Linked DNA regions of Drosophila melanogaster. The gene in region 1 interacts genetically with each later gene. Each region holds a gene or a part of one and is shown on either strand. Other genes may lie near its edges. The genes, in order: Ilp5 and gogo.

The links.
Region 2: of Ilp5 (region 1) and gogo, changing one suppresses a phenotype caused by changing the other (phenotypic suppression), as found in Drosophila melanogaster (one study listed by BioGRID).

What each region holds. Positions count from the first base shown.
Region 1 is NT_037436.4:9,822,840-9,825,749, reverse strand, and holds Ilp5 (Insulin-like peptide 5), read left to right. Parts: upstream 1-1,852; 5' UTR 1,853-1,876; coding exon 1,877-2,039; intron 2,040-2,110; coding exon 2,111-2,274; 3' UTR 2,275-2,401; downstream 2,402-2,910. Other genes in the region: CG43897 (uncharacterized protein), read right to left, coding at 1-947, 1,110-1,204.
Region 2 is NT_037436.4:20,292,075-20,297,374, reverse strand, and holds the start of gogo (golden goal), read left to right. Parts: upstream 1-2,241; 5' UTR 2,242-2,614; intron 2,615-5,300. Other genes in the region: FRG1 (FSHD region gene 1), read left to right, coding at 475-533, 586-768, 833-1,031, 1,091-1,290, 1,383-1,530.

The DNA.
Region 1 (2,910 bases):
AGCCAAAGCCATCTGCTGCTGCTGTTTAACTGCCACGTTGTCAATTACCATTCGCCCTGCTGTCTTCGCTTGATTGAGATTTGCGGCAGCTGGCGACACCGGTGTCGGTGGCAGCGGCAAGGTCTCCAAATCCACATCTTGACCAGAATTGGGATCATCCTCGCTGTCGCCGTCGTGGCCATATGAGATCTTTACCTCAGTGGCCAGTTTTATGCACCGCCGTTGGACTTTTGGCTTTGAAGTTCTCGGCTTAGGTGGCGGCAATTCCGGAGCACCCACTGTACGTTTCCGGGAGCGGCTACGATCCAGGGAATGAGCCTGTCTCTTGTATCTTGGCCTATATGGAGTGATTTGAGTGGGCAGAGTTGGTGTGGCGGACCTTTTGTGGGCCAATTGCTCGTAGTACTCACATCGCGGAGCCACCAAACCCAAATCCACATCGGCTGCCTTGGTCTCTGGAGCGGAGAATCCCTTGGATATGGGAGTTTGATGGAAAACTTCCGCCAGGTCAGGTTCTTTGGTGTGCTTTTGGAGCGTTTTTGATCTCTCTTTGGAGCCACCATCGCGTCGTCGCTGCTCTCTCACTTCATTGGCAGTGGGTTCGATAACCAGGGTGGGACTCTGGAACTTCTCCCTCAGAGCCTCAATACTGTGCGATGGGCTGCAGGAGATCTGATGGCTCTGTTCGGGATTGATAGTTGGTTGATCCTGCTCAGCTGGAGGCCAGCTGTGATCCCGTTTGAGCAGATGCCTCTTGGTGGCCAGACGGTTGATTTTCAGCACCGTGTCCCGATCGATAGTGATGTCCTGCTGATGACTGAGATAGTCTGTTTTGATCTGGTTCAGAAGCTGCTGGTGCAGCGTGTGATGCAGTGCATCCACCTCGCCTCGTTGACGCGGGCGACTCTGCCTTTCAGTGGGGTAAAAATCTTTGTGGGGGAAGTCCCCTGAATTTATTTAAATTTATCTGTAAAAAACACTAATATTGGACGAGCACTGGGACTGGAGTTTGCTGTTTTGTTGTATGTTTCTACACTGTTTCTTTTTGTCTAGGCAACATAAAATAAACGCGCATAGACAAATATCCAAAAAAGAGAGGTATATCTTACCACATTTGGCTTGTTGTTCTTCCTCTTCGACGGCGCGCAGAACGGCCGAGTTGGCCAAGTTCAGGGGCTTCGTTATTTGATCGTCGACTTCAATCCTAAAAATAACGTAAAAATACAATACAATTAGTAAGAATCAATGCACATCGTATATTGTATGAGGTAAAATTTTAAATTTCGCGGTATATACTGCTTGTGTGTTTGGCGCACTGCTTCGACTGCTTGCAAGCAGTTAGCGCCAAATTTAAATTTATTTTTAAATATGCTCTCCTCGCAGGCATGTATTCGATTGTCATGCGTTCTTTTGGTATATGTTATAGAATTATACATGTGAACAGGCAAAAATGTAATATACGACTTTACTTTCTTAGATATACAATAAGTACATTACTTAAATATTTCATGAAATACAAACTTATGATCGTATGCACTATTTGCACGATAAGCCAATTAAACATATTGAAAATGAAAGCCCTTCTAACTAAAGACCATATATATCGTTATACATTTTGATTTCAGCTATTATATATAGATTCCGCCACCCCCTTGGTGCATCCGATTAAGCGAAAGTTACGCTAATCCATGGGCATAAATTAATGATAGCACCCTGCGATGTCCTGACATTGAAAATTAGCAAGTACGCTCCTGCCCACGCTGACCCCAAAAGACTAATCCAATCTGACAGGTGAAAGTGCGCCGGCGGATATAAAAATGGCTGACAGCGGCGGAAACTGCACCACATCCTATCCAGCAGCAGTTCCAGCAAGGCAATGATGTTCCGCTCCGTGATCCCAGTTCTCCTGTTCCTGATCCCGCTCCTGCTATCCGCCCAGGCCGCAAACTCGCTGCGGGCTTGTGGCCCCGCCTTGATGGACATGCTGAGGGTTGCCTGTCCCAATGGATTCAATTCAATGTTCGCCAAACGAGGCACCTGTGAGTATCGGCTGCGTTTTTTTGGGGTTTGGGGTTTCCAAACGGCACGAACTCACTTATTTTACTTGCAGTGGGCCTATTCGATTATGAGGACCACTTGGCGGATTTGGATAGCTCCGAATCTCACCACATGAACTCACTGTCGAGCATTCGGCGCGATTTTCGCGGCGTTGTCGACTCCTGTTGCCGCAAATCGTGTTCCTTTTCCACGTTGAGGGCATACTGCGACTCCTAAAAATGCTGCGATACCTGGTCCATCAGTTTACATACATACATATATGAGACATGTTACGTAAAAGTATTAAGTATAAACTATATGCACGGCTTTGAAACTTGAAACTACAATAAATAAGCGCAATTCGAAACATCGCTTTTTAATTTCTTCAAACATTAAATATTATAAATATTTCGATAATAATTTTAGCCTTTAAAAGTGAACAGATACACTAAATGGTTAGCAAAAGAACAATATGAACAATTTTAAACACACTTTGATATATCCAAATTCTATTATAACAATGTTTATTTTTTTCCATACGAAAATATGCTCCTTTGAGCGGAAGGAAAATCAAATTTTGATTTAAATCGCAGCAAGTTGGGTGGAAATTTTGCACACAAACAAAACTATGCCTTTCGCTTGCCTGGCGATTTTCTTTAAGCTGGCAAAAAGAGTTTTCAACTTTAATTATAATTTGCTTGAAATGTTTTGCTTTCAACGCATCATCTTAATCTGGGACGAAATGTTTTGCCTCAACAAAACGAGATAACAAACAGAAATATTTAAGCTAAGAAAATGTGCCTGCTGAGATAAGACCTTAAAGAATTTATGGACGACAAAGTCCAGAGATAATCGCCAAGCTTTAAGCTTTTT
Region 2 (5,300 bases), about 10 Mb from region 1:
GTGACCATGCCAACGCTTTTTCCAAAGTATATGAAAATAAGATGTTTCCTATTTAAGCTATTTGAAACGTATTATTTACACATATTTATTTATAATTTATAATAATAATTTATAAAAGTATGTATCTAAGTCAAATGTTTAGTTTAAGTCTTTTGTTTAGTTTAACAAATCCAGCAGCCGTGATTGTATTTCCTTTTTGTAAGCAAATATATAATGAATTACGAGAATAAATATATGTATGTGATGAAAGATGAAATATGTCTTATCTCTCACAGATCAAAAATCATTTGATTTTAATTTTTTTACCAAGTTAATGAATGGTTTGAGTCCGTACTTTTTAAAATGTACGCTTACAGTATTTTATTGGTAAGATATCGATAGCCGATAGACCAGCTCATCTGCGATGTTGTATCGCATGTTTGTTTATTGTGTTGTAAACCAAAACTATATCAACAATTTACCTATTTTGTGACGATGTCAGACTACGATCATGCACGCATTAAGAAATTGGTTCTAAAAGGCGAGAAACTCAAGTATGTAACTACAAATCTGCCAATAGCATCAATTGAAATTCTCGATTTGTAGAAAGAGCAAAAAACGCAAGAAGGAAAAGGATGAGGCTGGATCTTCCAAAAAGGCCAAGGTAGTAGTGGATGAGGATGCCGTGAAGCACGGCGGTTGGTGGGCAGCAAAGACAGCGGCCGACATCACCGGTACAGTGTCCATAGAGTTTGGCGATAGGAGTTACCTAAAGGCCATGGACAATGGGTAATAGTGAAAAAGATCTGCCCATTGGTACTTTAATTATACCGGGTGTCCATTAACATTTTAGTCTCTTCACATTGGGAGCACCACACAACGCTGGCGATGGCCCAGATCCCGAGGAGATTTTCACGGCTTTTCCCATCAACGACCGAAAGGTAGCGTTTAAGTCTGGCTATGGCAAGTACTTGAAAATTGAGAAGGATGGAATGGTCACGGGGCGCTCCGAAGCAGTGGGCGGCATGGAGCAGTGGGAGCCGGTTTTTGAGGTAAGTCTTACCTATATACAAATGTTTTGAAACGATAAAACTAATCAACGTAATTAAAGGAACAACGAATGGCTCTTCTATCCGAAACCGGACACTTTATGTCGATCGATCCCCAAGACGACGCCTGCGTGGCATTGCGAAAGAAGGTGGGTCAGCATGAGATCTGTAAAGTGCGGAGTAATGCGAGCAGGGATGTGGTCATCGATACGGAGCCCAAGGAAGAAAAGGGAGACTTGGGCGAAGTCGAGAAGAACTATGTGTAAGTTCAGCTGATGATTATGATTTATAGGACTTAAAAAGGTTGAATTCCGCGTTACCCATTTCAAATTTCGAACCTTTCGCATTTTTTAGGAAAAAATTTCAAAAGTTCCAGGACAAGAAGATGCGGATTAATCAGAACGATGTCAAAGAACTCGAGCAGGCAAAAGCTCAGGGATCTTTGCATGAAACTCTTCTGGATAGACGCAGTAAAATGAAAGCCGATCGGTATTGCAAGTAAACCGACGCGAAGTGTTCATCATTCATTAAAAAAAGTTACCTCTAAAATAAGGTACGGGTTTTATTTTTATAAATATATATGTATATTTATTGGTATCTGAAAATATCTGAATACTTATTGGTTTAAATATTTAAAAGCAATATATTTCGTTCAGGCTTTCAAGCTTAGGCTTTTAAATAACAAATGATAGGTAAACTGTGTTCATATTCATAGTTTCAAGCAGAATCAGTATTTACCTAGTTAATTTCCCAGTTTACAACCAAAATTCAATATCAATCTATGTAGGCAGCACACAGATTTGAGCATGCAGATGCGGGATTTAAGCTGGCCAAGAGTTCAACTGGCCGGCAACAGCCTTTCCACCCCCTTTCGCCCGCCTTGCTGTAGTAAAACTAGCAGCAGACGGCGTCACAACATGACAATTCGCGCTGGATGTCCTCCACACCACCCAACTACTTCAGCCACCCCCTCGTCGGGTGGGAAATCAACCACCATGCGTTGCATCCTTGGTGCCCGTGCCCGCTCTCATCTCGGTCTCTCGCCCGCTCTCTCGGCGCAGTCCTCACACCATCGTTGGCGTGCGCCTCTCGCTTTTTCCACGAGGAGTCCGCTTGAAGTGCCGAATCCGGTTCACGTCCTGGTGGCTCGTGCTCGTCTGTGCGCTCGTGGCTTTATTTTGGCTCTGGCCGGTGGCTCAAAGTCGCGTGGCAATCAGTTTGCTGCCGTCTGTGTTCGTGGGTGAAAGTCCGCACCGCTTGGCTGTTCGGATTTTTTGCCGCATCTCGTAGATACTTCATATGGAAAACGCTTCTATCGGTTGGAATTGTATCTCGTGAATTGTGCCGCCGCCGTCAAGTTACACTTGAAAATTGTCAAAATTGAATTCACCGAACGTTAGTGAACAAAGGTCCTCCAAATGGCCATAACGAGTGCTGCGGTCTTTGTCTCGATTCGGTTTTCAAACCAAACTACTGGCGTTGCCGGGTTAAGTCAAAAGGTTCTGTAGATATACTTAAGTGCTCAGTGAACTACTCATCAACAGAATAATCGTGTAGTGCAACTGCATATATCATCCTGCTCTTTGGTGAGTGAAGTGATCTCATTGCAGTTATTATATTCTCTTTATACGACTGTCTGGTCTGGTCTGGTTTTGTTTCCCGCTCTCGTTTTTCGGTGGTGTTTCGAAAATTGCAGGCGATTCGGGGTGTTTTTTCAAACTGCCGCCGACGACAGGTATGGGATAATCAATTCCAAGGAAAACTAGAATCAACAAGGCTGCAATTTTATTCAAAAGTGTGGGACCACAGAAATCCTTTTGAGAAATATATAAATCTCGTTCTCGGGCATAAATCTAATTGAACTCAATGATTTACCATTCGAGTAAGTTGCGTGTGAAAAGCTCATACATTTGCAGATATGCAAAGGAAGGCGGAGTTAAATACTTTGGGAGATCGATATAAGAAGGAAATGGCTATTAGTCACTACGATTTGCTATAAAAGAGGATGTTATTTTAATACAAAACTGTGTTCATGTTATTCCCAAATGTTTTTAATTTGTGACACAGGGGTAAACAAAGTGGGTTGAGTGCACCAAACAATTTCTTATTCCTCAGTACAATTTTCAATCCTTGCGTGCTAACATTACTCAGATTCATAACTATTAAAACAAATGCTCCGGGTGTGATATTAGTGGATCGATAAAGCTAATCTTTTTAATTAGCTTAAGAGGGTATAGTTAGCAGCTCATTATTGATTCTAAAGCACACTGGAGATATGGTTATGCAATTTAAATCCTTGTTATCTGTAATGTATCTGTGAGTATATTTAACTCCAGTTCATTGGAAACAAAACATAAATTTGAATTGGTAACAAATTCCTTGTTTTGTAAACAGGACACATTGGTCTTCTTAAAGGGGCCGATCAACCTCAACATTTAAAATCCATTAAGTTGAATTTCCTTTGAGGGCTTTTCCCCTTTGTCTGGCCTGTTTCTCCTTTGTCAAGCCCAAAAGTGGTCAATTGCCAGGCAGACAGAGGGCGGAAAAGTCGACAATGGAAATCCGTCAGATTTCTTTAATTTCCTCAGCAGTCTTTGACTGCTGAAATGGTTTCCTTTTCAGCCTGTCAATTGATTTGGCTCAAGAATAACGCCATTGGAGGTAAAGAAGTTTGGCTTAAAGCCGTTGCCATTGTGTATGAAGTGTTGAAATTTGAGAAAAAAAAGGGTGTCTCTACTTCGGTTTATCATCATTTGCCCTGAATCCAATACCCTTTTCATACAATATCTAGGGAGCATTTCGAGAGCCAGCTCCAAACAGATTTGCATCAAAGTTGGCAACAAATAGACTGTGACTTGCAGTTGGTTTTAGCAATTACTCTTTTTATATTTTCGGACTTCCTGGTGGCTTTCACACACGAACCCATGCACATTGTACACCGATGCTTTTCTAATTACGTTCATGTACATACAACATGGACATCTGATGTCACAGGTCTTCTTCGTTGCATTCAATTTGACTCGCTTAGAAATGCACCACCTTCCCTGGACTACCTGGGTAAGTAACCACCACCCACACCCAGTTCATGGAGGAACACATGTCATGGTATACCCTGTGGGTACCTGGCGGAAAAGAAAACAGAACAGAACAGAACAAAGTGAGAGACCCAGACTAAATTAATCAGGGGCCAGGTAGCGATTGGAGAGAGCTGGCGGACTTCCTCGGGGGTTGTATCCATACCATGCCGTCCAATCCTACTGCAACAAGCGAGTGAGCCGTGGAAAACAACCCCATGCGGACCTTTATAACTAGGGATTCCCCATATGCTTTCCCTATATTCAAGTGACTGGAAACTAAACTAATGGGTATCTTATATATAAATACACATGTAGCAGGGTCTTAAACATGGTGTAAAACGTATTTCCTTTGATTACCAAATTTTCCGTATAAGCAATACCCATTAAAACTTTTAACCGACCTTTTTTCGGGACTAAAAATGTATCCACAACAGGTAACGTTTCGCTAACTTTTCCAATGTCGGGTAACTAGACTTCAAAATGTAAGGAAAGAGTTTAGAAGGTAAAGTCAGCCAGCCTTTTTGTGGATTTTTGGTAACTTTCTTTGGCAGGCAACTGTGAATATTGGGGATGAAAGTGTAAACAGCTGACGGCGGTCTGAAGTACCTCGTATGCCAAAGTCCTTTCTCACGGGTTAATTTCCTTTCGCAACGCCAACATGCAAACATACAAATGCTTGCAAAAATATTTATTTAGTAACTCGATGACCGTCAGTTGTCTCCAGTTACTCAAGACGATTTGTTGATTAACTCTAAATGGATTTGAAATATTTGCATATTGCACCATTTCCGTTGGATCCTTAAAATCCTTAAATTTCCGCAGGCGGAAAGGGGAATAATCCTTCCTTATATAGTTACTACTGCCTAATGCGAACTGTAATTAAACTGTGTCTGCATAATTTAAGTGCTTAATTTTGCTGAAGCGATTGCTGTGCCGTCGCCAAGTTGAAATGCAAATAAATACTCAAGGCCTACATGAAAACGGCAAAAAAGAGCGAAAGGCAAAGTTTTCTGGATAGCGCCTGCCTCGCAACTCCAGTGGCGCACGCATTCCGCCTCCGGAAAAGTATTTGTAACAGTGTTTAAACTCACATAGCCCTCCGTGGTTTGCGAACTATTAAAAAGTGAACCGAGTTCTTGGGCGGTGGGCGGTGGTGCGGGTAGGTCGGCCAGCACTTGGAAATGTGGGCGGTGCG